Linked DNA regions of Yarrowia lipolytica. The protein of the gene in region 1 interacts with the protein of each later gene in a pairwise test. Links are inferred from orthologs where the notes say so. Each region holds a gene or a part of one and is shown in the gene's direction. Other genes may lie near its edges. The genes, in order: YALI1_C28963g, YALI1_E34028g and YALI1_E18854g.

Evidence for each region.
Region 2: the proteins of YALI1_C28963g (region 1) and YALI1_E34028g interact in a two-hybrid assay, tested with the Saccharomyces cerevisiae proteins (2 studies listed by BioGRID, with this or other methods). The link is inferred for Yarrowia lipolytica from reciprocal best matches to the Saccharomyces cerevisiae genes MPH1 and RIM1.
Region 3: the proteins of YALI1_C28963g (region 1) and YALI1_E18854g interact in a two-hybrid assay, tested with the Saccharomyces cerevisiae proteins (2 studies listed by BioGRID). The link is inferred for Yarrowia lipolytica from reciprocal best matches to the Saccharomyces cerevisiae genes MPH1 and RFA1.

The regions. Positions count from the first base shown.
Region 1 is NC_090772.1:2,889,903-2,901,879, forward strand, and holds YALI1_C28963g (uncharacterized protein), read left to right. Parts: upstream 1-6,422; coding exon 6,423-6,556; intron 6,557-6,601; coding exon 6,602-9,239; downstream 9,240-11,977. Other genes in the region: YALI1_C28997g (uncharacterized protein), read left to right, coding at 9,840-10,913. UniProt on the Saccharomyces cerevisiae protein: ATP-dependent DNA helicase involved in DNA damage repair by homologous recombination and in genome maintenance. Capable of unwinding D-loops. Plays a role in limiting crossover recombinants during mitotic DNA double-strand break (DSB) repair.
Region 2 is NC_090774.1:3,398,617-3,407,885, reverse strand, and holds YALI1_E34028g (uncharacterized protein), read left to right. Parts: upstream 1-4,689; coding exon 4,690-5,020; intron 5,021-5,076; coding exon 5,077-5,126; downstream 5,127-9,269. Other genes in the region: YALI1_E34072g (uncharacterized protein), read right to left, coding at 1-695; YALI1_E34042g (uncharacterized protein), read right to left, coding at 2,066-3,643; YALI1_E34015g (uncharacterized protein), read right to left, coding at 5,395-6,360; YALI1_E33943g (uncharacterized protein), read right to left, coding at 8,514-9,269. UniProt on the Saccharomyces cerevisiae protein: This protein binds preferentially and cooperatively to single-stranded DNA (ssDNS). Involved in mitochondrial DNA replication. Stimulates PIF1 helicase activity.
Region 3 is NC_090774.1:1,879,337-1,890,331, forward strand, and holds YALI1_E18854g (uncharacterized protein), read left to right. Parts: upstream 1-6,062; coding exon 6,063-7,832; downstream 7,833-10,995. Other genes in the region: YALI1_E18802g (uncharacterized protein), read right to left, coding at 1-929, 988-1,014; YALI1_E18843g (uncharacterized protein), read right to left, coding at 1,355-5,017; YALI1_E18895g (uncharacterized protein), read right to left, coding at 7,981-10,158; YALI1_E18903g (uncharacterized protein), read right to left, coding at 10,530-10,970. UniProt on the Saccharomyces cerevisiae protein: As part of the replication protein A (RPA/RP-A), a single-stranded DNA-binding heterotrimeric complex, may play an essential role in DNA replication, recombination and repair.

The DNA.
Region 1 (11,977 bases):
GATGCTCGCCAAGCTAAATAGCCCAACTGTTGTCCGAAGGATGTGACTCGTATTCCGAGAGGAAGAACACGAAGGAAGGTCGCCTAGACGCCATATATGGACGATTGGCTGTTAATTCGTCAAATTTCCAACTTCATACCTCTCTCCATACCTTTCCTACACGCAATAAAAGCCCCACTCAACATTGCTCCTGGTTGAAGCTAAATTGGCTGGGAAGACAAGGGTGTATGATGCCAGGCGCAGGCAGTTGAACGGATATTAGTCAGATGGAAATGATATGACCTGATCGAAAAGAAAAAAAGATATTCTCGGTTTTGCTTCAGTCACGTGATACTCCACTCTCAGGGGGTGTTTCATTCTGGTCACGTGATCCGCATTTTCGGTAGGTGGCTGTTTCTCGGTTGAAGCAGAGTGGGGATCTGAAACTTCTCCTTTTATGTTTTATGACATATACGAACCAGTTGTACATGACATAATCACGTGCTGATGCAGCAATGGGATAATGATTATTTCACATATTTCGGTATGCAAACGTGATAGGTCTTAGTAAGCCGATTTGTCTCTGATATTTCAACGTGCAAAATCTCTCATACGCTCAGGATCTTCTTGTAGAGGGGAAAGAGTACATACAGTACGGTATGAGTGTTCGTGCGGGAAGGGTCGATCCACGACGGTTATTGTAGTACTTTTTTAAACGGTGATTATCCTGGCGAGTGACCAATAACCAAATGGAGGGAGCCCATGTCGTCCATTGGTATCTTCTGCTATATATCGGTCTGGTACGGATCTCAGTATCCCAGCGGTCAGAAAACTTCACTGTTCGGTAACGCAATCAGACACTTATTGAGGAATTCCCTTACACATCCCATCCCCCATCCACCAAGTGGGAACCCCAAATGACCAGTATTTCAAACAGGCTCTTTTTTCATCAGATTTTGTACATGATCTCCGCCTGAGAGCACCTCAACGGAACTACACGGAGGTTTCAAAGCCTGTGAGACCGCAGAAATCTGACCAAAAACAGGAAAGCCCCAGTCGACATTTCCCTTTTAGATATCGTAGCCGCTCCTCGTTCATCCCATCTTCCCGAAGATGAAAATGTTTGAGCCGCACGGGTTCGGCTTCCGGGAATACATAAGCTCGAACCCTGTGGAAAGGGTGAGCTGAAATGGGTGTTAGCTTGGATATCAGACAGATCTTGGACATCTTACTTCTGATATTAATGTGTTGCATTGTTCTCCCCTTTGTTTATTTTCATTCACTATCTCATATTATCTCTCTGACCTATCCCCCTCATCTCGTTAATGTACCTCGACTGCAGCTGTGATGCAGGGATGGCTTATCAGTGAGAGACCGACTTTCAGAAGAACTGCCTGACTTTCTTGGTCAATACAGTGATATGATACTTGCATCGGAGAGTGGTGAAATAGGTTCACGTAAATGCGGAAAGTGTATCAAGTCATGGCCAAACTTCAGTTCCAAGTGACAAGGTAAAACAGGTTTAGTATCATCAACTATCCTAACGATTGGCCAATGAACTCGTTGAAACGGGTTTTCTCAAGAATATTGTAGAAGCGTGATCTCATTAACCTTGCTACTAGTACTCGTGCTTACCCCCAAGACTCTGGCCTTTTCCGAGTCCAAGGATTCCGGCTTTCTAAATAGAACGCTCTGTTATTAGCCGGAATCCAACACATGTCCAGGGTTGCTCAGATGCAGGGGTACGGGCAGGAAGCGTCGGAAGAGAAATGCGGCAACGAAATCTCAACCGGAAATGTTGTCAAGGGTTTGGCCCCTTTTTTACATTTTCAGAGCCAATTCGTATCCGTCTAGTTCCGTCGAGGTTCATTCAAGGCGTGATTTACAGCCTCTTTCTTCTGAAAGAAAAACACTAGTCAAACGGGGTTCCCATGTTCTGATTCTTGAAAAGATGGCCTAACCTGAGAGAATGGCATAGGGACAGTGTTAGTCGGTGTCCCGTCTGTAAGAAGTCTCTGTTGTGCTTACGCACATCTATATACAGTATGTACAATACAATATTAACATCCACACGAAGTAGCCGTTCCTTAAACATCCATGTCAACATAATTCTGACTGGTTTTCACCACCTACGCTAGCCTCTTATGCTCAGAACCGACCCATTCTCAGCTTTCTTCTTGGTTCTGGGGAAATACATCTCAGTTACTTTTTCAAGACCTATAAACAATGCTAAATCCACATCGGACTCGGATTCTAATTTTCAGAAAAGCATAGAGCAATTGTGCTCGCGGTTTCCGCGATTCTTCTTTTAGAACGGATATAAAGTGAATTTTTCACCTTCACGTGACATATTAGTTCCAGTATATACATCCAACACCCAAAGTTGACAGTTGCGGCCATATCCTGGTGAAAATACGGCTTCCCGTCCGATCAGCCATAGTCAAGCACCAGAGAGCCTAGTTAGTATTGTAGTGGGAGACCATACGAGAATCCTAGGTGCTGCAATTCTTTTTCTCGTCACACCAAGCGGTTGATATCCCTTTTTGCCACCTCGGACCGCCTACAGTATGTTCATGTATTTTCTCCACATTTAAGGTTCTCAATCTTTCGTCTCTCTGAGGCCGCAAACACATTTACATAACCGTCCTCTCTATCGTTTGATTGTTTATCCTAGCATCATTTTCTCAGTAAATTTGCTGGCTTTGGGGCTAGTCTTTTTCTCGGGGTAACATGCAATGCAACATTCTGTCGTTGCACGTTTTCTTTCAAATATTTTGATTTAAGGTTGTCGTATTTTTAAGCTCGACCAAAACGCAAAATCGACTGGAAATTTTAGAGAAGGACATATTCATTGTTCCCCCGAGAAATTTTGATGTTGCATAATACAATATTCAGATTCACTGGCCATTTATATGTGATTCTACGTATTTTTGGTCCAGTTTACAATCTTTCCATCAATCTGGACAAACATCCATCCTCCATTCCCTTCCACACATTCTTTGTCATGCAGGTTCTGGGCTGGCTCTAATTTTTCATGCATATATATTGCATATGTCATGCATCGTATATGCATATTTTCAACACCAGCCATTTCTTTTGGACTATATTGGGCGTGGTCAAGAATATAAACCCCCTCCAGTCCCTCACTTTTCCATCAGAATCAGTCCAGTTCATTCTGTGTCATTCTGAAAACGGAAGTTGCCCTTTATAGCCTGCTGAGACGCGGAGCTGTGTCTACAAGACAGCTAATAGAGATCTGTCCACAACGAGGACATTTTCATTGTTTGTCGTCCGTTTGAGTTGTGACTGGGCAATGTGGTGAGATTACAGAATCCCAAATGTCGGTTAAGAAGGCAATGACGCTTAATCGCATGAGCCTAGTGCGTGCGACAGCTTCTGGTTGGGCGTTTAAGCTGAGAAGTCAGCGAGTTCGACACAGAGGCCAGTACATACATCTGCCTAAGCCAAGTGTCTTCAAGTCCGTGACCTTCGTGTCCGGTTGACCGCCATGGGCTGAAAACGAGTGATTGTGCCGGCTGAAAAGTGTCAGAGCAATTCGTGCCTTGTGAGAGTTCCTGAGGACCGCATGAGCTGCCGCCGGAGCATTGAGCCAGAGCCATTAAGCCCGCGCCACCGACAGTGAGATACTCAAGGGTGAAATTCCATTTGAGAGACTCCCATCATTCTCACAGGTGAAACTCGTGTTCGAGATACTCCATACTCACAGGGTGAAATTCCTTTGTGAAGGTCTCATATGGTGCAATTCCTGCGTGAGAGAGCCGCCTAGAACGAATAGCCAAGCTGAAAATCCAGAGCTGCCAGCGCTGAGGAGCAAGCTGGAACGCTGAGCTGAAACACATTGCTAGAGCAAATATCTGCTTTGACAGACGCCATATATGGTCAAAAGCGCAAGAGATGTCTGGGTCAGATCCATAAGTCCCACGATAAGTCCGAAGTCCAGAGCTGAAAGCCAGAGTCGTAGCGAATGCCAGAGCCGCCGAAGTGCAAGCCACTAAGAAGCAATGAGAGCATTTACCAGATCCACAGAGCCAGGGTAAATCCGGTATAGCGGAGACAAGAACACCCAGCCGGTGAGTCAAGGCAGTAAGAGCCATATGCAGTTTTGAGCTAACACCAACCCACTAGTCCTGAACGGCAGCAAGAGCAGAGTCCAAAGAGCAATAAGAGCGCTATTCTCCTGAGAAAAAGCCTATGAGACAACAGATAAGTGCCACATGCCGGAACAGACGAGAGCTAAGGAGCCAGGGCCAAAGAGCCGAGGCCAGCCAGGAGTCACACAAAGGAATAGGCAGTGAACCTCTCTCAGCCAGAGGATGTAGCCGACCGAACCTGATCTATTTATTTAGTTTTTCAGAGGAATAAGTGAAAATCCGAACCTCTTGGGTTCGTCATGGACCTCAGAGTCCCACCCGCATATTTGACTCGTAGTGTTGTATTTCAGTTGTAGATGCTGTAGATGATGCTGTAGTACAGCAGTGGTGATAGAGAAGGAAGAGTTAGCCGTCATTACACTCAGGATACTGACTATTACTTGTTGGTTTAAGTGAGTTTTAGTGAGTCTAGTGAGTTGCGTGGTTCCCCATTTCCCAATGATTTCGCCTGTCAGTTCCAGTGACTAATTAGAATGTGAAGTTGTCTTCAAAATGAAGTGAGGGAGACCCCAAATCGGCTTCTCAACGATTTATGGGACTTGGTCAATGTGTTGGTGGTATACCATAGATGTTGCCATGCGTTGCCATACGTTGACGGGTTCTAAGTGATTGGAGAATATTGTCAATTGTTGGTCTTCATGATCGGTCGAACTGCTCCAAAGGGAAGCTCATCAAGTCTGGTGCAGTTACACTCTCCCCTCCTTAAGAGACGTCCACGTCCTTCATGGATCATACGAGTCACGGGTCATAATTCAACCCATAATCCACATAACCAATCCCAGTGATACGAACTCCAACCATTCGAGTTCAACCGCTCACGGCAATATCTCAAACATCATGGAAGTCGAATCCAACATTTCATTGGTCTTACTTAGCGCTCGTCGCTTGGCCACTCATAGAATCCACATATCTTTCACTTGATTCTCATCTTTCCCAAGATCTCAATCAACGCCACAAACAGCATCATCAATACTGTGACACGTAATACTCGTTCACATTGTTCGTGTACTCTTCAGCATCATCTCTAGTCCCCAAAATCTCCAAAAATTTCAATCTGCTTTCCACCATCTGTTTGCTTCAAGCTTTCTGCAATCTCCGCTTTCCACTGTTTGCTTCAGGTTTTCAGCAATATCTGATCAGCCAATCGTTCACACTCTGCATCTTACTCTTTGCGTCCGCTTCAGTGATCACTCCGTAACTGTCTCCGTCGAATGCACTTTCGCTTTGTCGCTATCTCTATCCAAGGCTGCTAGTCTCAATACTGCGCTCCTGGCTCTGCTAATCTCAAGCTTCAATAATAAGCTGTTATCGGGCTCCCTGTGGGATCACCCCTCTGTCGTAAGTATTCTGGCGCGAGATTGTCTCCTCAGCGCCCTCGTCAAATACCACTTGTCTCGGCGTTACTCAGTACTTGCTTCTTCGAATCACGTCCAGTACATCCAGGCTTTCACAGATCTCCTCCTCAGTGGATCGTGATCTCACTCACCAACTTTCGTCGCCTCATTGCTCAAGCCGAACTCTTCATGCTCAGTTCCACAGATTCATCGTCCTGGCTCCATTATCTCCTCCGAGGGTTCCCAGTTATCATTAGCATTCCAACTGATCACCAGTGTACTCGCTTCCATTCTCTTCGCAAGTCCACAGCGTCGACCCATCCGTGTACCTCCTAACGTCGGTCCACTTCAGTGTCTCCTAGCAAGCCTCTCTCCACTCTTCTCGTGAAGGCTCGCAGATGCTTCTTTCCGAGCTCACTCGTTTCCTCGTTCGCTCATCCATAATCATCACGGTCGTTGGCAAGCCTCTTCGTGGCTTCCAATGGAGGCAGTTCTAAAGAAGTATGGCTAACTTATCTGACCCCTGAATTGGGTCCGATTTGAACCGCGATTTTGCTTCTCGCATTGTTAGATGCGAATACCAGAATGAATGTGAAACATGATTGTAGAGCTCTTCAAGTGCCATCATCGTGTCTGTTGATATGCCCTCACTGTTTGGGCTGCCCAATATGAATCCACTCATGCACTGTCGGTGATGGACTCAGACATAGTTTGAAGAGTGAGAAGTGCGTCCATTCAAATCACTGAACAAGTAATTGTACAGTAGATTCGTAAAACGCAATCTCCACCTCCAAATACCGCCCACCGATACTTGTAGTTACCATGCTGTTCTTGTACAAGAATCAACACGTACCTGAAGGCCAAACTTTAAGCAGGGGTGTTAATTACGAGTACGCGTTTCGCGGCGACAGTGGCAAAATCAACACTCACCAAACATATGCTGCTGGATGACCTGAGCGACAGCGAATTCGATGCGCTGCCCAAGAACAAGGCTCCAGCACTCCTGGACGACTCGGATCTCGACGATCTCGACGATCTCGACGATTTCGACTTCTCCACAGTGGTAAAAGAGTGAGTGTTCGAAACGCTTTTCAGAACGATTCAATACTAACCCAGACCAGCGAAACCAGTGACAAAGGAACAAACAGCTGTTCACAAGCCATCAACTGCTCAACAACAACCAACACCGGCTCGACAACAGCCGCTGGGACAGCAACCGCCGCGACAGCAACCTTCTGGACCACAACGAACTCAGCTACCCAGGTACAATGCTGATCCGGCAGAATCTACAAATACACCAGACATTGATCTGAACCTGACATACCCTCGACCAATGGACACAGCCTGTCACCATGAGACGACGGGTCTCACCGGATCTTTTCTGTACCCCTCAAATCTGCCGTTCCGAACTTACCAGCATACCATCATTCAATCTTGTCTGATTGAGAATACTCTCTGCTCTCTTCCCACCGGTCTAGGTAAGACCTTCATTGCGTCTGTGGTCATGCTCAACTTTTACCGATGGTTTAAAGATGCAAAGATCATTTTCATGGCGCCAACAAAGCCCCTCGTTTCACAGCAAATCGATGCCTGTCTTCGAATCACTGGTATCCCGAGGCACGACTGCAGTGTGCTGATGGGAGGAGTTAAACAGGCTGATAGAGCACATGAGTGGGCTAACAAACGTGTGTTTTTCGCCACTCCTCAGGTTGTGGAGCTCGATCTCGATGGTGAGATCTTGGACCCAAAGACGGTTTCCTTGTTGGTTGTCGACGAGGCACATCACACCAGTGGCAAATACTCGTACGGAATAGTGGTCAAGAAGCTGCTGGATGCACACCAAAGCTTCCGTGTTCTTGGCCTCACAGCCACTCCAGCTTCCAAGGTTGAAGGGGTGCAGTCTGTCGTGCAACATCTTCTAATTAGTCACTTGGAAGTCAAGGGAGAACAGGATCCAGATGTGCAGCAGTACATGCACAATCGAGAAGAGGTCAAGATCAACGTCGATCTGGGAAGCGATATTAATGAGTTGTTGGCTCTGACTGGGCAGGTACTCAAACCTACCTTGTCTATGATGGCCTCGAAGGGGGTGCTGCATAACACAGACATTGCAAAAATCTCACTGTTTGGCGTCAAGAAGGAGATAGAACGGTACATGTTTCGAACCAAATATCTCGGACCTGCTGCCCAGTACAAGTACCGAGGTATTGGAGCTGTAGTAGCCTCCATAGCCCATGCTACCCAGCTGTTGCAACACCAGGGAATCACGCAGTTCTACGACACCCTGAAGCGACGACACGACGAGGAAATGGCTCGAAAACAGCCTACAAAGTCATACGAACAGGTAGGGGATATTGGCTCAATTTTAGATGCCACCAAGACGATCATGAAAAAAGAAGGATACCTGGCTCATCCTAAGTTGAACTATCTCGGATCGGAGTTGAACGAGTTTTTCAGCAAGGCTCCCGAGGGAGCTAACACAGGTACATGCATCATTTTCGCGCGCTTCAGAAGTACTGTGAATGTGATCATGGAGTATCTGACCAAATTCCCACAGGTCAAGCCACATGAGTTCATTGGCCAGGCTCCTTCACGTGAAGAGGGAGGTGGACGGGGAATGACCCAAAAGAAACAACAAGAGGTTATTTCCAAGTTCCGAAAGGGCGTCTACAATACTCTGGTGGCTACTTCCATCGCTGAAGAAGGTCTCGATATCGGACAGGTTGATCTCATCATCTGCTACGACTCCAACGCTTCACCTATTACGTCTCTGCAGCGGATGGGACGAACAGGACGTTCCCGAGACGGTCGGGTAGTGCTTCTGATGACCGATAAGGAGATGGAGAACAATATCAAGTCGCGTGATAACTACAGCTACATTCAGCGTTTGATGGAAAAGGGGTCTCGTGTAAAGCTTTACCCTCCGAATCGTGTAATTCCCGGTGCCGCTACCGATCCTCCTCCTCCCCATTTCATGAAGCAAGTTATCTTACCAGGTGAGAACCAGGAGATTCTAGACAAAACCGACAAGGATCATCTGGAGCTCGCGGATGTGGTCGCCAAAGGTGACAAGGAGCTGCGTCTGAGGAAAGACAAGAACGGCCACTTCATTGTGCCTCAGAAGAGGAAGAAGAAGGTGTTGAAGATGCCAGAGAATGCGACTTTGGGGTTCATGACCGCTAAGGAGATGGCCATGAGAAGCAGCCAGTCCAGTAATGGTCAGAGCAGCCAAGACATACCTAACAGCCCTACCCCACCTACGAAGCGTACCAAAGTCGATGTTGATGAACTCGAAGCAGATCTCGATGAGGCCTTGGGCAACCGGTCTCATGATAGCCTGGCAGAAGACATTGAGGAGGAGCTAGAGCAGGAAGAGGTTCCTCAACATTTGCATGACTTGGTGGAATTGGACGATGAACGGGAGCAAGATATGAGCCTGGAAGAGTTCATCGGTGATGATGATTTCGATAAGGAGCTGGAGGATGTTCTGAACAGTAGTAAGTCTGGAGGAGGCCAGTCGATTAGTGAGGGTACACAGGGGACTACCAATGAGGTACAGACGACTACAGGTTCAGTACAGACCCAGGCGGTACCTGTGGAACAGAGACAGTCTCAACCATCTTCTGGAATACCACTGGCACCTGTCAAAATGACACCTGCACCACAACTGGCGGAATCTATCGACTCGTCGTCGTTTGACGATGAATTCTTCGATAGATTGGACGAAGCTCTGGCCAAGCCTGGAGACAAGTAATGATAGAGACGAAAGCACAAGTATGTATATACACGAATATTTATTGGTCATACTTGGTATTGTATCACACGACATTTTTGTAAGGAGGCGTTCAATTCTTCTTGCATGACAATAGACTCGAAAGACGGCGATCTTCGGGTCTTCCAACTCTAAGACGATGAGGGTATTCCAACGCAGCCATGGGGAGGTGACTCGCCATATCTGTAGAACATGTAAAACATATATTGAGGTATTATAAGAGCACACTAGATTTCCCCCTTTGGGGGGTCGTTAGCACATTTCTATGCAAGGTTACCTTCTGCTCCTCGACTGGTCTCATCGGCCATGCATATCTGCTGCCCAGAGCTTTCTGATTACGCACGGTTTCAGAAAAATATCGCCGCAATGTCGCTCAGATGACGCATGGATTGAGAGATAAAGCTCTGTTTTGGACAGTGTCGAATTCTGTTTTCCGGAAGCCATGCACAAGTTGTCTCAGAGACTGAAATTTTTGACTCCCATTTTTTAGATTTAGACTTGATCAAACTTCAATCAACTGTTTCGGACCCCCCAAACGTCGCCTGGAAACTCAGACCACACTCGACGACAAACCCCTCCCATATGGAATGGAGCGAAGCGATAAAGGACAGCGTGGACCGCATTCTGGAGACCGGTGAACACGAGGGAAAGCACGCCCCAAAAGACAGCTCCTTGGACCGCGCGTCCAAGACGACCCTCGAGTCGGAAATCATCGGAGGCCGTGGGGGTAAATCGCAGGCCATCCGCATGGTGGAGAAAACGGAAACGTGCAACAATGGGACGGTGAACATCGAGCTCAAGGTCCACGACACCTTTCCCGACGTGACGGGCCAGCCCAGTGAGATCACGCAGCGATATCACCAAGAAACGACCAAGGCCACTGTGGAACCCGACGGACAGGTGGCCAAGGTGACAGTACACCACAAAGAGGATACCGGGGAGCTGACCAATTCCCTGGTCGAAAAGGAATCACTATCGCGGACCCACAACCATCACAAGCTCGAAGAAAACGTAGCTGACTACAACGAGCAGCTCCATGCCACAGAGGTGGATCTATATCAGAAGGACCAGACCCGGGGGGAGGCCCAGAAGGTCTTTTCCACAGGCTACGAGGTTATTTCCCAGGAGAGGACTGTATGGGATCACTCTAGATCTCGGTCGAGAAGTGGTGAAAGGATCAAGCCTAAACCCATCATCTGCGCAGAGGACCCTGATGTGGCCGAAAAGCTCGCCGTCGTCCAAGACGACGAAACGGTACAGCCGGCTGTGATGATTGAGACTACCAGCTACGTCACAAATGCCGAGATGGCTCAGGTTGCACATCTCCATGGCACTCCGAGCGAAAAGATTGTCAAGCCTGACGACACAAAGAACATCTGGAGGGTGGTTTTTGCAGATGACAAGTCGGCGTCTTTGTTCCTCTATGCCATGCAGAAAGAGCTGTTTCGCCATCCAGGGTTTCTCGGCGTTTACCGTGATCATGCAGAGGCGTTGAATACCGATGGGCTGTCTAAGCGGGGTCGCAGTCGGGAGAGACGCCGTGACGACTACATTGACGGGGTTCGGTCTCGCAGCCGGTCTCGCAGTTCCGAAGATAAAAGAACCTGTGTGAAGCGGGTGAATTGGACCAACCAGTTAGAATCGATCCATAAATAATTTATACACTCCCTAATGACGACTCTGGTTATAACTGAGGTATTCGTAGTCGGGACTCGTTCTTGTGGCCTGTACTACAACTGTACTTGTAAACATGACAGGGAGATGCATAAATGGATACATGAAGCTAGAAAATTAGGTTCCTCGGGCTTTTGTTCCTTGTGCATTTAACGTTGTGGCAAAAATTGGCGAGATTCGCTTAAGTGTAGAAGCGAAAGGAGACAGATGTGACACCCGGTTGTTTCGACTGCTTCTCGGACGAAAACGGGACACGAATGATAGGAGATGGCGAGTCGCAAGAGATAGCAGTCGATGCTATACATGGTCTTTCATAGTTGAAGTCTTCGGTAATCCTTTCCCGGGAGTACGTTGCAAACGCACAACCGGTACACACAGTAGGGTTCAGTCGCGCGGTGTGGGTCCTCAAAAACTTCAACAGCAAAGAAAACGGGACAAGAAGGACCGAGTCCCCACCCGGATGTTCGGGGTGTGTCACGTCGGGAGATGATATGATGCTTAGGGGCTATTCTACTAGACGTGACATCGCACTAACAGTCACTAGTGTCAACTTTGTTTGGCCCAGTTGGTTCAGCCAAACACGGTATACCCCACGGCTTTTGAATGTTTCTTTTTCTCTCTGCTCAGCGCTGATGGCCAAGATCTACATAGACAACGGCGTCATATGCGAGTTTCCGCGGTGTCTTCCTTTCTCGCCTCTCTCATTTGTGCGAATGCATGGTTCAGCAAACGGGCGCTACTTGTAGTGACTTTTTTCTGCAGGGTCAAGCGAGTTAGCGAGCGAGGTGACAGGCATGAGCACAAAGAAAAGTAGCAAACAAGACAGCTGTCTATGTTAGATGCCGCTGTCACGGCTCATAAACATCTCGCTAAAAATGACGATATTACTCGTTTATCTCGCCAAGGAATGCTAACCTTCGTTCCTCGTATAGCTTTAGAGCCGCTCTATTTAACTCTGTCGGCCATTCGGGGGAGCGACGGTCACATCTTTGTCTGGCCTCGGTCAGTGCCACAGGGGTTTCAAGCCCTGGTTTATGCAGCGGCAT
Region 2 (9,269 bases), on another chromosome or scaffold:
AGGTTGTGTTTGACGGCAAGCTCACCAATCTGGGTCAGCTCCTCCTTGCTGAAGACCTTACCAGTGGGGTTCTGAGGGGTGTTCACAACAATCATCTTGGTCTTGGGGGTGATGGCAGCTTCGAACTCCGCGATGTCCAAGGACCAATTGGCGGCAGAGGAGGTATGCTGAGAATCCTTGGGGGGGTGGAGGGGAACATAGACGACCTTTCCACCAGGAAGCTCAATGTTGGAGATGTACTGATCGAAGAAGGGCTCGAAAACAATGACTTCATCGCCCGGGTTCAGGAAGGCGGTGAAGGCGGCGTACATGCCCTCATTGGCACCGGCAGTAATGACAATCTCGGAGGCAGGATCAAGAGTTCGTCCAAAGTAAGGAGAGTAAGCGTCAGAGACAGCCTTAAGAAGAGAAGGTCGACCACGTGTAGGAGAGTACTGATTCAGCGCAGGTACATCAAGAGCCTTCTTAGCAGCATCAATGGCAAACTGAGGAGGCGAGTAGGAAAAAAAGCCCTGGCCAAGGTTGACCACCTTCTTTCCGGAAGCCTCTTCGGAAGCAGCAGCAGCCTCGTTGATGAGAGACCACACGTCCTTAGGAGTCTGAGCGAATCGTGCGGGCTTGGGAAGTGGCTGGAGAGTCATGGAAGAATAGAACCTGATGGAGGATGTGTTGTGGACAACTCGACGAAGAAGCATGGACGGGAAGAAAGTTGACACGCCAATCGGGTCTCTTTATTATTGGGTGGGGGTTGGGTCTATATGCATGCATGATAAGGTAACGAAATGTCACGTGCCGTTGTAGGAAGACGGGGTGGGACTTATCAGAAGAAGGCACGTGGTCAGCCACACTAAAGGGAGCCACGGGCACGCGTGGCATTTGTGTAGGCCATATGGGCGACCAATCAGAAGCTTGTATTTTTCATATCAGAAAATCTCCAAAATGACCAGTTCCACGCAGACACTCACCTGCCATGTACGGGTACAACGTACCCCACACAGAAACATACGTCAACCTCATACTTATGGCATGACTCATGGTTCCAGACCCCTCATTGATACCAATTTAATACATACTGTACAGTAAGTAGTAAAGACACCTACAAGTAGGCACATCTAAAAACTTGCTCCAGTTTAGCACACGCACGTTTTTAATTCACATATCACCTTATCGCCCAAAAATCCACTTTGGGAATTGTGTTTTTTTTTTTTTTTTTTTTTTTTTTTAATTCTAATGATTCATTACAGCTATATACCTATAAGTAGTAAGCCGGGTTATTGGCGTTCAATAAATCATACACTTAGTAATCGTTTCGATGTGCGTTGCGAGGCACGTGCCAGTTGGTTCGTCGTCGCTTCATCTTATTCTTGTCCTTGTCGTGGTCTCGTGGTAGTGAATCAGGGTTAGGGTTAAGTGTCTCACGGTACCTTGGCCATGTTTTTTCCAAACGCAACTTCCAGGGCGTCTGGTGTAGTTGGTTATCACATGCGCTTAGCATGCGCGAGGTCCCCGGTTCGATTCCGGTGTCGTCCACTTTTTTGTCTCCTTATCAAGAGGGAGCTCATTTTTGCACTCACATTTCTTCTCACATCACTGCTGCGTGTTTAAACGAGGTTACTGTAACATTGGAGTGGGGCTACAGTATGTACTGTACTGTAAGTGCTATGATATGTGTGGTGTTACGATAAAGCAGGTCCCAGTCAAAGAGGAGAACGCGCATCGAGTTTGTTTCGAGGCACACTGTCGTTCTTGACAGGTATCAGTGTAACTGTAGACATAAGGGTTCTATGGACTCAATGCATGGATGGTCACTAACGACTTTTCCTCAACCAGTTCCACTCATTAACACCCATACCCTACACGCCCCGGTACAGTATGTACTTGAACTTGTACTTGTATGTACATACTGTACGATATGTACTTGTACCGGTACAATGTGGAAGGACGATGTACAAGCGATGTACCAGTAGTTAGACAACCAGCTCTCTGCAGCTGGATCAAATAATAATAGTTAGATCATGTTCACATTACAAGTACAGTGCATACTATACAACAGAAATCAGAAGCTCTAAAGCTTTGGCTTCGCAGGGTTGAACAAACTCTCATGGGTCTCTCTCAGAGCCCAGAGATCCTTCACTCTGTCCGCCACCTTACCCTGTTTCCCCTTCTGTTTCAATTGGAGAGCCTTATCGATGACTCCACATGCAGGAATGACAAATGCCATGTCTGGCACGATCACTCCATTGTCAACCTTTCCATTGCTTGCCATAATACCAACGAGTTCTCCAGTTCTCGAGTCGAAGACCCCACCACCTGAAGAACCATTCCAGCAGTGAGCTGTGCTACAGAGCATAGCGTTGTCTTTGCTTGGTTTTCCTTCCAGGGACATCTTCACTGCTGAAGCGATATGACCTCGAGAATACAAGGGCTGAATGGGCCGGAGAGGGGCAGTGGGGTACATGAGACCGAATCCATACGACTCGACCGGCTGGCCACGGTATGCAGGGGTCTTGCTGAGTCTAGAAGGGAAGAAAATAGGCGGAGCTGGGGTTCGTAGAGTCAAGAACACCAGGTCCACACCAGGAAGAGGAGCTTGGTCAACGAAAGCTTCAGAGTTATGGGTCTTATCAAACCATACCGTCACAGACTGATAATCATCTCCCGGGACATGCTGATTGGTGACCACTGTCGTTCTGTTGATCAATACACCTGAACCCCAGCCTCTCCTACCTCCAGCTAGAGATACAGTAATGGCGCAGACCCCGTTGAAAGAAGCGGGGGTCATTGGTGACTCAACCGAGACAGTCTTTGACATTCTCAGCTTGTATTTGTCGTCCTTCTTCTCTAGGGTGTCCATCAGTTCCTGCCAGGGCACAATCACAGTCAATGTACCTTCTCCTCCAGCCTTTGACAGGCATCCTACAACCATGCCGATTAGTTTTCCATGCGTATCCGTCACAACGCCACCCTCCATACCTTCGAGAAACCGGATATCGCTGAAAATCACCGACGCCTTGGTCTGAGGACGTCCAAAGTTGGCTGTGTATCCCAAGTAAGAGGCGTTACCTCGCACAGTGTAAGCCATGAACACCGCCGGATTGACCAACACAAATGGCGAGCACTGCACTTCCAAGTGCACCTTTGAAATGTCCGCGGTGGCGAGTTGTTCACACTTCTTGCCCCGTCTAGGCAACTTTCCAAGGGGCTTAATCACAATAACCGACGGAAGCTCGGCCTTGGACCCCTCCCATCTTGTTCCAATACTCTTGGAATCCTCCGCAGTGGGCTTGAAGTTGAACCCGCCACTTGTGTACTGTTGTAGCACCTGGTTCACATCGGCCAGAGGCACGACGGCCTGTAATTCACCGCGTACCCATTCGAGGTGCTCCGATTTGAGTCCTCCCTCAGACGCAACAAGTAGTCTAGCATGAGCCTTGAGTCCATATTCTCCCTTATCATCACTCAAGTTGGCAAGGTCACAACTGGAACACAGAATCAGCTCCTGTTCGGGCTTGTTTTTGTTCCACAGATGGATGGCTGAAGAGCCATGATTTCTGAGAACTTTCTTGCCCTCGGGGTCCTGTTTCCACGAGGAGCCTGCCGACAGAATATCTAGTCGAATAGCTGCATTTTGGTACTCCCACATGTTGTGTCGTGTGCAGTGGGATGGAGAGATGGGTTATGCGGGGTATGGTGAATCATATGCAGCCGAGGTGATAAGCCGAGTGCGTGGGTTCGACTTTGCCCAAAGTCAAGTAGCAGATGTGAAGCAGGATGTATGAATAATATGGACTCGATTGATAGGTCAGCCAGAAGTGTTGGCAATTTCTCTTTGTAGCACTTTTTAGAGAGCTAATGAGGCTATTTTTTCTGCATATACATTCTATTAAAAGTCACAAGGATCTACTGTAACTACGAAGTAGTCATGCATTCACATTCTAAGAAGCTTACTTGGACATGCTTTACATATTTACGAGAAGGCTGGTATTGTAGTGTAGATATGTGTCTCTCAGTATCGTGTACAGTATTTTTACACTATACAGACCACCTTCGAGATGGTATACTCCACCTACGAGATGGTTTACTATCGTACACCTGCTAGACTTGTAGTATGCACCAATATTAGTACACTTGTTCTCGTACCACTCGTATCCACATCTTGAAAGCTTTCATAATGTTAAATTTGAAGCTACACGCTTTACGCCCATCCTCTCAATCATCGTATCCATTGGGCCATCTCCAATGTGACACCCCTCGGAACGATTTACAACGCCACCCATTCGCCGTCTTCTTTTCAACGCCAAACTAAAGTTCCCGTGTGTCTGCCCGACCCGAACCTTTTCAGACAAACCTTTCCCGAACGGGCGATATTAAAGGTCTTTGGAAGTCTGTTTTCGAAGCTGATAGACAGCCACCTCCAATACTTGTTGTTCATATAGATGTAGAGTACAGAATAATTGTATTAGAATCAACCAGAAACTTCAGCTACACAAACCCACTCTGCCCTCCTGAATATATATTTTACGTCTCTGCAGCAATGCAGCAAGTTTTTCCTTGAATTCTCGTCGCACTCATTTGAGGCACGTTGTTGTACCTCGTCGCCAGGGTTAGGGTAAACACGTCCGAAGTCCCACACATCTATACTATAATTCCTAAACACGCACCACACCACCGTCTTCCCTACACAACACAATGTTCCGATTCACTCGAAAATTCACCACCTCTGCTGCTGCCCGAGACGCCTTCAAGGTCACTCTCCATGGCCGTATCGCGAAGGCCCCCGAGACCCTGACCTCCGCTGCTGGCAACCCCTACATCAAATACACCGTTGCTATCAACGACTTCCGAGAGGATCGACCCGCTTCTTTCATCTCCGTCACCTCTTTTGAGGATCGAGCCGCCCAATTCCTCAGCGTTCTCAAGACCGGAACCCCCGTCATGGTCACTGGAAACGCTACCTACCAGTACCCCCCCAACTCCGAGATGGGAGATGGAAAGTACCCCTACCTTAGCGTCACTCAGAGTAAGTATCACAGAATCCGTTACAAATGGTGCATCCGAAGCAATTGACTAACACAGCCTCCATCGACGTCATCTCCGGCAAGAAGCGAGACGAGACCGTTGAGTAGATGTATTAATATTGTACCAGCTGCTTGCAGCGCTTATTGTAACGACACAAAGAGGCTTGTAGAATGCGTACTGAAACATTCCATTGGCGTGACTGGGTATTATGTGGGAGTTCCACCGAGATACTTGAGTATACTGTAGTACAGTAACAAGGACTGCTGAAGATGAATCATACCGCGGTACAGCGCATCCTAAAATAAACACGCAATTATACAGGTTTCTATAATGGATTATTGTGGGTGTAGAAATGATACCTCACATGTCTCCTTCTCACTTCACATCATTACCCCAAATTAACATCTTTCCGAGATTCAAGGCTATCGCGAACACTCCTGCGCCGCGGACATACTCGTCTCGGGCAAGGAAGTGCGTTGTGATGGGCCAGCAGTGAATCTGACGCAGCTCCCCATCAATCTTGATGGGTCCACATAGCCGAAGGACCCCATAAAGCTCTTCTATCTCGTTGGCGAACATCTCCTCTGTGCCATAAATGAGATACATACCCTTTTCAGGGAAGGACTCTTTCCACCATGACAGAGATGTGACACACGAGAGGTCAAAGTATGGCGACGTCTCCTTGGCTCGAGCAATGTAGTAGTTTCTATACCTGCGCAAATGGAATGCTGAAAAGTAGCAGTTTTCTGTCTCCTCACGCATGCTAGTTTTCCAGTTGGGCCACGGGCTCAATAGCAGAGCTGCCTGTGGTTTCACGTTCGTCAAACACTCAGTGACACCAAGACAGGGTCGTGTGAGATGCAGTAATAGAGATAGAGCTAGGTTCGCACCACTACCGTCACCGGCAAACACAAAGTTGGCCGCTGGGTGTTCCTTTTGGAGGTAGTTCCACGCGACTGCCGCCTCATCGAGTTGATGTGGGAACGGGTGCTCGGGGGCGTAGCTGTGCTTGAGCATAAAGATGGCAGGGGATCGGAAGCCCTGCATATGTAATGATGTGACTAGCGCTGTCATGAACTCCAGATACATGTAAGGTGAGTGTGTGACCATCCCACCTCCATGCATCCAAAAGAGCACAATGTCGTAGTTTGGAACTCGTCCTTCAGAACGCACCCACAGCCCTGGAATAATCGGGTCGTTTTCGAATCGCACGTCGCCCATGTCGATTGCTCCCGAACGGAACCGGCGAAACCTGTAGAACCACATCCACGCCGTTCGTCCAAACAAGATACGGCCTGCTGTGGTCTGCTCCAAGCTGAACATCCAGCGAGCAAGCAACATGCCTGTGTACTCAGAGAAATGTGAGCGTTGGCAAAATCCTGGTTTGTGTTCGTATGTGTACAGAATGCGTACCTTGACGAGGTGCCAGGGCACTGTCAATACTGTGTTAGAGGAGGGTAGTGGGTATCAATCAAACAAATCAAGTCGTACTCCATATGGTCAGGTGAAAGACCATCACCAAGAAATTGAGCACCTTGCCGGTACTCAGCATCGCCGTGCTGACGGCCGCAAAATAGAATATCCGGTCTCTGTTGGAAGTAACCGGCATCTTGTGGTGATATATGAGAAGAAGATGATATATGAAAAGAAGATTAAGATGGCACAGACACTTTCGTGATAACGAGTTAGAGTTGCCCAGAGAGGGCGATGTGATTTTTCGGACGGCGGGACAGATATATTAGTGGTGTAATGGGTAAAAAAACCACATAAAAGGCGATGCTGTCTGTGTGAATAAAAAATACTCACTTTATCAACACAAAACTATGCAACCCCCAGCCCCAGTATGTAGCGCTACAAGTTGCTAGTTTACCAGAGCCCAACCCCTCATCGCCTAAGGTGTGGTTTAAACGGAGTGTGCTGCAAAGTGGACACCATTCATTCAGTCATTGAAGATTTCTGATGGAAATCCGGTCACGTGACATTTGGGTCTCAACATGTTTCACCATGAACAAAATTCGTCAGTTGCTGCCATATATCCTGGTGAAAACAGGAGGAATTGAGGAGAAGAGCACAGGAGAATCCGACTAATACACGCTACTACACGACAGTAACGCAGAAGGATGTTTTATACATTTCAGCTACTTTTTTTTTTTTTTTTTAATCTACTTGTAGGGGTAACTGATAAATTGATTTTTTATGTTTTATTCTAATGTTTTATTCTAATGATCCATGCTCGTAACATAATGCATGTTCATGAATTAAAAAGAAATAATGGCTCCCCGTTTGATCAACCATAGTAAAGCACCAGAGAGTCCGTTAATATTGCCATACGAGAATCCTGGGTACTGCAATTTTTTTCCTTCAGGGTTTCTCGTATCTTTTGCCGCTGTTTCTCTCTGCTGACGCTCCGTCCCTAACCTGTGTTGATTATTCCTGTCTCAGATGAGGAACTCCAAGGTGTGATTTTCGGATCAGATGACACTGACTGGTCTCCGATAAGCATTGAACGTCAAGCTTAATTCTGCAACAAAGATTGGTGAACTCATTCTTTGATCGTGAAGATTCACGAATGGGCCATCCATTTCAGCCCAGTTACCTACAGGTACAGTATGTACTTGTACCGGTAAGTAGCATGGCATCCGATTCGCATGAGGACACAAAAATGAGCCAACTCCATACATTCTGAAGGCTAAAGATCTATTACCGATACAAGAGTTGATTACCAATGTATCACCGGAGCAGTTATCTGGAAAATAGCTTGAAGCCACACCATTACCATATATTATGCCTCAGTATTCTCCGTAGATTTTTCCCTACAAGTAGCTACGCTGGCGCATAAAGTTCGAGATATATGCAAGAGTTAAGGCCGGTAGCGATGGCTTGTATGTGCTCAAAGATGTCACTAGAGGGTTGTGGAGAGACCCTATATCGTTACTATTAACAATACTGTTAACTTTCCAACGTTTCAACTAATTCCCCACAACATCTGTTACCGAGTATCCTCGTCTGTCGGTGGTAAGCCTTCCCCCTGCACCTCCAAGTAGATGAGCCACTCGCATATATCATGCGCGTTTTTTAGCCCTTGATAATATTTTAGAACTTAAATGGGCTCGGCATGATGATATGTATAGACTCCTCATCAAAGTCAGACCAGTTCACTCTGAGTCGTTCGGGCAGGCAAATGACGTGTTATCGCAGGAGCCCATATCGATCAAGAAAGAGATTCACGCTGTAACGCAACGAAAAAACACATGCACGAGCCTGAGAGAATGTGATAGCTTCTGACTGGAAGCTGGAGCTGAGAAATCGGCGTTCAACACAGTCGGCTAGACCTCCTTTGTAGAAAATAAATAAATCCATCCAAGTTCACCACAATGAGATGAAAAATATACCATGAGCAAATGTACTAATAGAGCAAAGCACAAGATGTCATCATCTACGTTTAAAATATTCAAATAATAAATAATGCATTAGCTAGTATAGCTGAGATCTCATTAGAAGAAGACATCGTCGAGAGTAGTCACCTGGCAACCCTGAAAATAATGCTGCTCCAAGTACCGCCCAATCCAGGGATTTTGAGAAGCGAGGAAATTGAGCCGAGGTAGAAGCACAGGGTGATACATGATAGTGCTGGCAAGGCACTGGATGACAGAGTCATAAGGACTGGCCATGTTGTCTGCCGTAATAAAATGCAGAGAAATTTTATCAGTGGAGTTTCCCACTCCTCGAGTCCATTTGCCACTGTTCTCATGAAACTTTTCTAGAGTGGCGTCTACGTCTCTGTCCATTTGCCGTGTTAGTGCGGATGAGATGCTAGTTGCTGAGTGAGGTACTCCTAAGATGTCCAAGAGCACCGAAGTCGAATCTTCCGAAGGGATGAGAGAGGTGAGATGAAGAAATTCAGCAAGGTAAGCGTTCTCTAGACTCGACAGGTGGTCCAGTCTGATTGTCTTGACCCTGACGTAGGCATGGCTCCAAAGTTGGATCCATAGCTCTTCATTGCCCATGGTGACCATGAGGCGTAAGAATAGCGGCAGAAATAGCACTGTAGCATGCTTCTTGGAGTAAACCAAGGACTCAAACATCTGCATCAAGGCTTTAGCATGAATCGGATGAGTTGTGGCCATACCAATGCCCTTGACGGCCTCATAGAAGACCTGCCCTCCGTCGAGAATGAGAGAAATGGACAACGTGCCGAGCAAATAGTTCTTGATCTCACTCTCATGTCTTGAACGTTTTAACAAACTCGA
Region 3 (10,995 bases), on another chromosome or scaffold:
AGCTGGGGTTTTGATTGGAGGATAAGGATGCAGTTTCGGAGCGCAAGGTACTGCAACTCAGGCTGCCTCGAAATGAGGTTGACCATTGCGGAACTCAGCTTGGTGGGGATCTGGGGCACGTGTTCCAGGAGGTTCTGCGAATAATTGGCGAGGTAGACAATGAGACGCACAGTTCCGAGAACCACAGCAGCATTAGAGTGCTGCAACCGCGGAAGAACACGCTCCACCATACGCTCCGCTTCCAGAGCTGTCTGTGGGGTCCAGCATAGTAGCGCCTGGAGCATGCTGATCTGCGACCATTCGGAACACTCCCCAAGCACGGTAGCAATCTTGGACGCGTGGTTGTGATCGAGTGTGAGCTGCAAATCACTAGACTTTTCGGTGATGTCCATCAGGGCAGCCAGTGCTGAGGCCACCACAGTGGGGTTTCCATCGTTCAGCAGCTTGTTGAGCAGTGCGATCAAGTCAGAGTGCTCAACAATCTTGGTGTCATGGGACCACATTTTAGCCACGGCCAGACACGCAGTCTTGCGAACATAGGGGTCCTCATCAAACAACAGTCGCTTGGTAGGCTCCACTCCCTCCCTGATGAAGTCCTCCAGAGGAATAGAGGAAAGTGTTTTGAGGGCCAGGGCCCGAATCAAGGGCGACTCCCGGGATCCAGCATCGTCCAGAAGAGGGTCCAGCGCTCCCGTGGCCAGCTCAGGTTTAGCCTTGCAGTATGTGATGAGATAGAGGAAACACATCTTCTTCACGTCCAGATCGTTGGACGATCGGATCATGTCGATAATGTCCTCGAATAAGACAATCATCTCATTGTTGCTCATGGTCATGTTGGCCACGATCTTCTTCAGCACCGCCTTCTTCTTTCCGACATTTTTCGGACCTTTGGCTGCCTGCAGCTCCGTTCTCAATTCCGCAGCTTTTCCCTGAGTTAGCATAACCTCCAAGACGCGCCCGCAAAGCGCGACCACCCCAAATACTCACCTTGGTGAAGAATTTCAAGTCACTCATCTTGTCGTGTACAAGAACAATTTACGTGTTCCGACTGTTAGTGCATATGCAATATCGCGCAGCCCATTATGTAAGGGGGGAGACCATGCAAAGCTAATATGGCGATGCTGAGATGGGTACCGGAATTCGGCCTGAATTATTGCTAAATACTGGAAAATATATCAAAAAATCGAATTAAACTACAAACGACTGATGAAGCAGATTCGGACGTGCTCAGATTATGCCAGATCATGCCATGACACGTCACCTCACTCTACAGTTTTGTAGGTATCCGAATAACACCAATAATATATATATAATTCATCAATAAAAACTCATTCCAATCCAATCCTACATCAGCCTAAGTATCGGGATACGATCTCAAATCCATAGTAAGAATCTTGGACGAGTTCACCTCCTGATCTCGGTAGATACCAACTAAACACTCTCCATGAGTATACAGACCCCGCTTGAGAGAAATCACAATGAACTGACACTTGCTGCCAGCATGCTTCCGAATGTAGTTGGCGACTCGTTGCACGTTGGCATTATCCAGAGCAGCATCAATCTCATCAAGCACAAAGAAGGGCGACGGGTGGAAAGAGTGGATGGAGAAAAGTAGGGCCAAAGCAGCCATAGTCTTCTCTCCTCCAGAGAGAAGCTCCATTTCTCGAAATCGTTTCATGGGGGGCATGGCGTGGTACTTGATTCCCTCAAGGTAAGGCTCATGCTCATCTTCGACAGTCAGAGTAGCCGAACCTCCCAGAGGAAACGCATCAGAACGAGTGAGCTCCTTGTACGTAGCGTCAATGACTCCGGAAATGTGCTCGAAGGCAGCATTGAACTTATCGCATCGAGCGTCTCGCACCTCTCTGAATTGGGCCTGCAGCTCCTGGAGTGCCTCACGTTCTCTCTTGGACTCAGCTTCGATGCTAGCACCCTCGGCCTCCACTTGCTCGAGTCGAGACACGGCCTTCAGGTTGGGGTTGATTCGCTCCAGTTCAGCCTGCAGAGCCTTGATCTTGGAAACAAGAGTAGAATCGTCGGCAAGTCTTCGAATGCCCTGGGGAAGCGACGAGAAGTCAACCTCAATATCGATATCCATTTGCGAGTCGTCTCCCTCAACCAGAGGCACAGACTCGAGATCACCTGACACCAGAGGAAGCTCAATGCCCTCAATCTTGCACTCTCGCAGAACCTCGTACCGCTGAGTAGCAGCAGTCTCAAGCTCGGTCTCAGACTGGGCAAGCTTTCGTCGCAGGTTATCGACCACGCCCTGAGCTCGGGAAAGATGCTCCTTGGCAGCGTTGGACTCAGTTGACGCGTTCTGAACGGCAGCTGTGAGCTTCTGAACCTGCTTTGCCTCAGCTCGAGCCTTTTCTTCCAGAATACCAATGTCCTCTCTCAGCTGGGCCTCATCGGCCTCCCAGCCATCCACAGCTGCCTTGTCATCATCGATAGACTGTCGAATCTTGGCCAGTCGCCCCTTGCACTCGTCCACACGCTTGGAGCCAAACTTGAGCTGTGACTCGAGAGTAGCAATCTGCTGAGAGAATGCGAGCCGCTTTCGCTCGGCACCAGCGGAGAGAGAGCCATGGGTCTGTTCATATGCAAACACGTCCTCAACAGTCACGCCGACACGAGTGCAATAAGACGAGAACACGGTGTACCAGACTTCGTCAAGGCGTTGTTGAATGGTGGCCTTCTGTGTCTCGAGCTTTTCGAGATCACTGGCGGTGCTGGCAATCTGCTTCTTGCTCTTGGCAGCCTCCTCGCTGTAGTACTTGAGCTGCGAATTGATATCCTTGAGACGGTCCTTCAGGCTGGCAACATGCTTCTGGGCAGCAGACACTTCCTGTCGCACCTTGTCAACCTCACGCTGCAGTGTATCCTGACGCTCGGGGTCAAACTTTTGCCGACCAACAGTCTGTAGCTCCAAAACCAGAGCATCCTTCTCTGCCTGGAGCTTTGTAACCTCAGACTCGTCCCATTTGGATGCTCGCTTGCCGCCATGGTGGCCCTTCTGGGTAGTACCACCAGTCATAAGACCAGCCTTGTGAATCACGGAGCCATCGGTGGTCACAGCCTTGACATTCAGGCTCCATCCAAGGCGTTTAGCCTCCTTAAGGTCGTCACACACAATGGCCGAGCCACAAACGTACTGGAAAGCCCGTTCGTACTGAGACGAAAAGGAAATGGCATCAATGGCAAGTACAGCCCCACGAAGACGCGACCGCAACGACGAGTTGACAGGCATGGCCTTGATAGTATCGAGGGGAATGAACGAGGCAAGACCGCCCTGCTGCTCCTTGAGGTATGCAATACAGTCCTGTGCAGTTTTGAAACTGTCCACAACAATGGAATCAATGTCCTTACCGAGAATGGTCTCCACAGCAAGATCGTGTCGCTTCTCCTTGGGCTTGCACAGGTCGTAGACGAGACCGTGGACCTTCTGTGCCGAGAAAACATGCTTCAGGTTGGCAACAGTCTCTTTAAGTCGTCGTTCTCGCTCAGTCTGTCGCTTGACCGCATTTAGCTCAATCAGACGGTTAGCCACAACACCCAGCTTGTCGCCAAGCTCCAGCTCGACACGTCGTCGGGTAGTCTGTTCGTCCACAACCCGAGCCAGAGACTCACTCTGAGTTCTCAGAGCAGACTGGTGGGTCTTGAGTACCTCCTCAGCTTCCTTCAGTTGGGTCTGGTAGACGCCAAACTCGCTTTTAAACTCCTTGACCTTGAGTTCCGAGTCCTCCTGTGCCTGCTCCAGAGCTCGCTTATGGTCCAGAACAGGTCTGAGTTTTCGCTTCACCGTCTCAATCTCAGCCTGCTCAGCCAGCGACCGCTTGTGCACCTCATTTTTCAGCGTGCTATACTCGGCCGCGTCCTCATCAGTTCGAATAACTCCGCCTGACTCCTTCTGCTTCGATGACAGATCTCGTTCAAACTCACTGGAGGCATCCTGAACCATCTTGAGAGAGCCTCGAGTCTGCTTGACTTCGTCCTGGTGTCGAAGTAAGTCAGCCTCGACAGTGCCGTACCGAGCCTCGTGACGCGAAATGTTGCCGGACACCACAGCAATACGTTCAGCCACAGGCACGAGCTGCTGCTTGTGCTCCAGAATGACGTCTGCTCGCTTCTTTGCCGAACGCTCCTGCTTGAGCAGCCGCTTCTTGTCGCTGGCATATTTGGCAGCCACGTTTTCCACCTCCTGAGCAGCCTCCTGAACAGCCCCCTCGGCGTTCTGGATAGCAGCGTCTCCACCTTCAATCTGGTCTCGGGCCTCATCTTCGATTTTTTGGGCCTGCCACAGTCTCCACAGCTGCTGCTTCACAACGGCCTCGTCTCGCTCTGCGGCCTTGGCGGTGTACGCGTCGTAACGGTCCTTGAGCTCAACGTAGTGCTTCTTCTCAGCGTTGTAGGTACGTCGTCGCTGCCAGGCTGCGTTGCTTCGCTCAGTCTGGACATCTAGCTCCTCCTTGAGACGGTCGTATTCGGGCTTGAGATCGATGGAGCCAGAGGTGATTTCAATCAGCTTGGACAAGTCTTGAGGCGACTGACTGGCAATCTGCTCCACATCTCCCTGGAAGACCAGGAAATTTCGGGCCTTGACCAGAATGTTTTCCTTCTTCATGGTGGCATTGTATTCGCCTGACGACGTGACCTTGTTGTTGATTCGGTACTCAGACGTGCCCGAGGGTGTGATGGTTCGCTTGAGCTTGAGTAGGTCTCCATTTGACTTTTCGTACTCCACCAGAACGTATGCCGACGTGGCTTCCTGAGACTGGGTCGAGCTGACTTCCTCGCCACGCATGATTCGGCCTCGGTAGATGAGGTCCTTGAGCTGGGTGGATCGGAGCTGCGAAGACCGCACTCCGAGCACAAACGAGATGGCGTCCATCATGTTGGACTTACCCGAACCGTTGGGGCCGATGATGGCCGAGAACGACGAGTCACCGAGATCCACACGGTGCGTATCACGGTACGACTTGAAGTTGCACAGCTCAATAGCCTTGAGGGTGCCCATAGTGTTGTGATGGTGTTGTGATGGTGTGTGGTGATGTTGTGTTGAAGTGTACGCGTGTTGGTGGTAGAATGACAATTTACATTTCACTCGCGTCCATCTAAACTTTATTTTGGAATAAAAATACAGTAAAAGAAATAAAAGAAAATAAAGAAATAAAAGAAATAAAAGAAATAAAAGAAATAAAAAAAATAAAAGAAAAAAAAAAAATAAAAGAAAAAAAAAGAAATACTTTGTAAATTACGAAGAAAACAAAAATATAACTCAAGTACAAGTACTTGCTGGTTTCTCGTTATAGACATTGCGAACCACACGCACGATAATTCAGAGCTCCACGCGAATTCAGCTCCACACGATTCAGAAGCTATCAAACCAAACCTCAACGGACTGGTACTATCTGTAGAACATCAATGATAACGACTGTTGTTGTCGTCAAAACTGGTTGCTCCGGTCGAGCTGCTGTGGATCGATACTGTCTGGACAAGACTATTACTACAAGCCTATACCACTGATCTTCAGTTGAAAACAACTCAATGCGGGGTGATGGCGAATACCGATTGGAATTGGGACAGGAAAATCAGTTATCTCCAAGCTCGAGGGGAAATATCGTATCTTTTTGTGTTTTTTTCAGACGTATTCAAGTCTCAATCTTCCAAATACTGTATGCATCGCTCGTCCAGTAGCCTGCCTAAAGTTTTTGATGCGAACGCGTAAACAATAAAAGATGCGCATGTATGATACTGTTTAGGGGGTAGTCTAGACGACGCTACCATGGACCTCGAAATGGTTGGACCAGTACAGAAATTGAAGGAAAAGAAGGAGCAGAGGCTCAGAATATGGCAGTAAAGAGGATATCCACTGACCCCCCCTCCATGTTCCTGTTTCTCTAAATTTTGCCACCGCCACTCCGCGACAAGGTTCGCTTCTTACCCTACTTAATTAAGAGTGTGCACGCCTGCGCGACGCGTTCTTTCCAAAATTCATCTGCTTGTTTTCTACGCTCCACAGCAACACACACACACATACACACAAGACCACAAGATACAAGATGACGTTTGAGCTATCGACCGGATTTTTCGACGCCGTGGAGAACGCCACCAGCCGAGATGAGCTGCCTGAAAAGTTTCGGGCTCCAATTCTCCAGATTGTGCGGCCCATGAGCGAGCTGCCCGGCAAGAACAGATTCAAGGTGACTCTGTTTGACGGAGAAAAGCCCGGCATGGTGTTCGGCGACCTGGACAACCTGCCCCAAGAACGACCGGGCAAATTCGACATTGTCAAGCTCAGCAACTTTGAGCTGGTCATGGCCAAACAGCGAGGAGTCGTCTACGTCCACCAGATGGACTTCTTGAGCCACGCCGACGCGGCTCTGGGACTCGATACCGAAGAGGATGCTGAGCTTCCTGGTGGCGCTGCTGCTACTGCTCCTGCTGCTGCCACCAGCAACCCCACCCCTGCCAAGCGAATGGCTTCTACCAACGAGATTCCTGCTGGTGTCCAGGCCCAGGGATTCCCCGCCACTGTGATGCCCATTGAGCGACTTTCGCCTTACCAGAACAAGTGGGCCATCAAGGTCCGAGTCACTTCCAAGGCCGACAAGAAGAAGTTCTCCAACACCAAGGGAGAGGGCCAGCTCTTCAATGTCACCTTTATCGACGAGACGGGCGAAATTCGAGCCACCGGCTTCAACCAGGAGGTGGATAAGTTCTACCCCATGCTGGAGGAGGGCCAGGTTTACTACGTGACTCAATGCCGAGTCTCCATGGCTAACAAGAAGTTCTCCAACGTGAACAATGACTACGAGCTGGTGTTTGGCCGAGACACGGTTATCATCCAGGCGGACGAGGCCGAGGCCGCTGCTATCCCCACAGCCAATTACTCGTTTGTGACTCTCGATAAGCTGCAGGATGTTGAAGTTGGCAACAATGTTGACGTTCTTGGTGTCGTCCAGAACGTTGGTCCCCTGGAAGACGGCGTGGCCAAGGCTACTGGCAACCCCTATAAGCGACGAAACCTCATGTTGGGAGACAAGAGTGGATTTGCCACCCGTCTGACTTTCTTTGGAGAGAAGGCCACTTCCTTCGACGAGGGAACTGTTCCTGTTGGCACCATTATCGCCATCAAGGGCGCCCGCGTTGGCGACTTTAACGGCCGAAACCTGTCCACCAGTCACAGCTCCACTATTGCCGTGGAACCAGCCATCGACGAGACCTACGCGCTCAAGGGATGGTATGCCTCTGAGGGTAAGCAGACGAGCTTTAAGCAGCTGCAGACAACTACCACCAACAAGCCTGTGGCCGCCACACCCATTGATGTCGCCACATCCAGCTACGGACAGTCAGAAAAGCCCGACTACTACACCCTACAGGCTTGGGTCGTGCACGTTCGAACCGGCAACTTTGCATACCCTGCTTGTCAGACTCCGGACTGTAACAAAAAGGTGGTCGAGCATGGTGACGAGTGGCGATGCGAAAAGTGTGAAAAGAACATGGATAAACCTCTTTACAGATACATCCTCTCCATCAACGTGGGAGATGCCACAGGAAGCATGTGGCTGACGGCATTCAACGAGCCTGCTGAAGTGATTATGGGCATGACCGCAGATCAATTGACCGAGATCCAGACTAGCCAAGGAGACGATGAGTTTGAGCAAGCTGTTCAGAAGGTCACCGGCAAACAGTACACTCTGCGATGCCGATCCAAGCAGGAGTTTTACAACGAAGAATCCAAGGCTCGTCACCAGGTTCTTACGGCGCAGGCGCTCGACTATCTCAAGGATATTGATGAGCTCATCAAGGACCTCGACCAATACATGTAATGGGGGATTGGTGTTACTAGTTGTTATGAATGATGGGGGTATATATAGTTTATGAAAGATTGTAATTTAGCGCAAGCAAGTAGTTCTGTCGTGAGTTCATCATTCATCATTATCTATAATCAGTTCTTGTGGCAAACACTGTCGTTGGCTACCTGTTAGTAATCCGCTTCCACACGTTCAACGCTACAGCATCCACAGCACCGAGATTAGGAGCTGCAACACTCTGCTGCACCTTGAACAGCTTGGTGTGGGTTCGGTTCCATACACCCACTGCAGCGGCACCCGTACTGTACCCTGTGCCCACAGTGTCAGCTAGGGAGGTCACTTGACGACCCACGCGAGCCTCATGGGTGTAGAGACTGGTCCAAATGAGAGATAGATACCAGCCAAGAAGCACTGGGTCCCACTGAAACTCAATCTTGTGGAACTTTGTGGGCTGCACAGGAGGATTGAGGGTGCCTATAGTGTCGATCATCGTGGAGGGTGTGTCTTTAGTGGTCTTGGGCTCGTCGCTAGCAGGGCTTGTGCTGGAGCTTGGTGGTGGTACTGCGGAGTATGTGTTCAACCCAGGGACAGAGGACTCAATCATGGCGTAGACCGTGTCAATGGTGTCGAGTGGAAGGTCTTCTAGCCATGACAAGTCCTCCTCACCATTTGTAGGCTCCTTTCCTTTCTCCTTCACGAGGCGATGCAGCTTTTCAAATGACGACCGTCGCTTCTGTAGAACAAAGACAAGCGACTTGTTGGCCTGAAAGTTGTATTCAAGCATGGCGTTGATGGACTCCAGGGTGAGCTCCAACAGGAAGCGGTTTGTGGAGTTGGCGAACAAGAAGGAGGGCGATGACAGAACGTCGAAAATGTCAACCAGCTGGCACGACACCGTGTAGTCGATATGCTTGGCCTGCACAGACAGGTTGTAGATGCATTCAACCAGAGTGGGGATGATGGGGTTGATTTCTTCACGAGGTTGAGTGATGACAGAGAAGAGCTGGCCAAGCACATAGTTGAAATTCACAGTGCCATCGTCGAACGAAGACACAACCACATCATCATCACTCAGATAGAGCAGGAAGTTACTGAGCAGCCTCAGAGTCTGCGTGCTCTCACACATTTTGATTTGTTGCAGAATCGATAGAATGATGTTGTCGAGGTACCCCTTCTTTAGAAGCCACGGCAAGAATCGCTTGTTGGTCTGAATGATCTCCCATAACAAACAGATAATCTCGTTGGTGCGTGTTTCCTTCTTGCCAGTCAAAATGGAGCCAGAGGAGGCCGAGAACTTGGCCAGAATCTCGCTAATGTGTCTTGCAATGAACTCAAAGTCCACATCCTGCTTGAGTTTGCCCAGAAAGTATCTGAAGTTGTTCTTCACGCCCGGCTCCGGGGGGTAGTAGACAACAAGCAGAAGCAACAGTTCCAGGGCCCAGAACGCCGTCTGAGAGCCCCCAAACACGACTGTTTGGAAGGCATTGGCATCGCGCAACAACCGCACCAGCGACAAGTTGAGCAGAGAGCACAGTAGCAACAGGGTGTCGCTCTTACCAAGCCCGCTGACAATGCACGTGAGAAACCGGGAGCCCTGCGTGGTAACATGGTTAACACTAGTGTACAGCTGTTTGCACGAGCAGCACACGAGTAACCTGAGAATCTCGCAGCGATTTCCCTCCTGCGCGCTGGTCACCCCTCCTTCCACGCTGTGACAACCCACTCCCATTTCCCAGATTTGCGAGGTGCCGCATAGCTTTTTATTGAACAAAAGCGACACGAGCTTTGTCACCAGCTTCTCGCCCAGAATGTCGTTGCTCCAGAAGAGATCGTCATCAAACGTCTTGGTGCCACTTTCAAACACAATTGGTAGCACCCTGGTGAGAACGCGAATGCAATTGAGCAGTTGCGGCTCGGGCGTTGTATCGTCGCAATTGATAATCTGTTGGCTCACGACTCGGACCAGAGTGGCTATATTGTCTGGAAAAGTCTGGAGCGCCGTTCGGACATCGTTCTCGCCCACCAGTGTGAAGATGTCGCTGGCGTTTTCCGGAACCATCCATAATTTGCTCCAGAAGATGGTATCTGATTCAGGAATGCTGGAATCCGTCGACAACCGGAAAATCTCGGTGCGAAACGTCTGTTTCGACTCGGTTTGGCCCATTGATGTGCAAGTCGGTATATTGAGGGTGGTCAGATGGCCTGAACCTAAATCTCGCGTACAGGGTGATAAGGGTAAGGGTTGGATTGTGAGATGCAGGCAAAAATAAATAAATTGTGATAACATAGCGTAGAAGTAGAAGCAGAAGTAGAAGTACTTGTACAAGTGCTCGTGATTCATAACGTGTACTTTGTTTAATATTTTCTAAATCAATTTTTAATACGTTAATAGTCGGATTTTTTTTTTTTTACATTTTCATAATTTTAATTCATTTTTAATTTACTTTTCCAAGCAGAGTTTTATTGAATTAATTCTGTTTCACGTTAGGTAGGTGTTTAAGTAAATTTAAAGTAGAAAAGTAAATAAATAAATAGATAAATAAATAAAAAGGAAAAAAATGAAAATAAAAAAACGTCCATGTCCAACCTCACCACCGACTCCATTCAAAAATCCAATGCTTAATTCATTATTTATGCTTGCTATGTACACTTTTACACGTTTAGACAGCCCAACCCATTACAGGTCGAGCATCCCTTCCACCATCACCACTTCTACCACCATCCCTTCTTGTTCTTTTCCTCTTCCTCCTTCTTGGCGATGGCAGCCAGCTCGTTCTTGATTCGCTCGTTTCGATCCTGGTCATTTCGAGCCTCGATCTCCTTCATCTTTTCTCGCACAGCCACATTGAAATCAATGGGCTTGGAAGCCATGGGCCCAACCTTCCAGATGGGCTCGTTGGTCTTGGACTGGGCAATGGCCTCCTTGACAAACTCGTTGAAATACTCCTGCCGAGCATCTCGCTCCAGCATGTATCGCTCTCGCAACTCGGGGTTCATTCGTCGCACAATATCTTCTTCGGAAGGAGTGGCATAGCGGTATCCCAGATATGCCGATCCGATGACGCCGACGGCAAACAGACCAAACTTGGGCCAGTTGGGCACGCCGGGCCGCGACCGGAACATTTCGACAATCGGCCAGTTTTCTAATCTCATGATTGTGTGTGTATGAGCGTGTGAG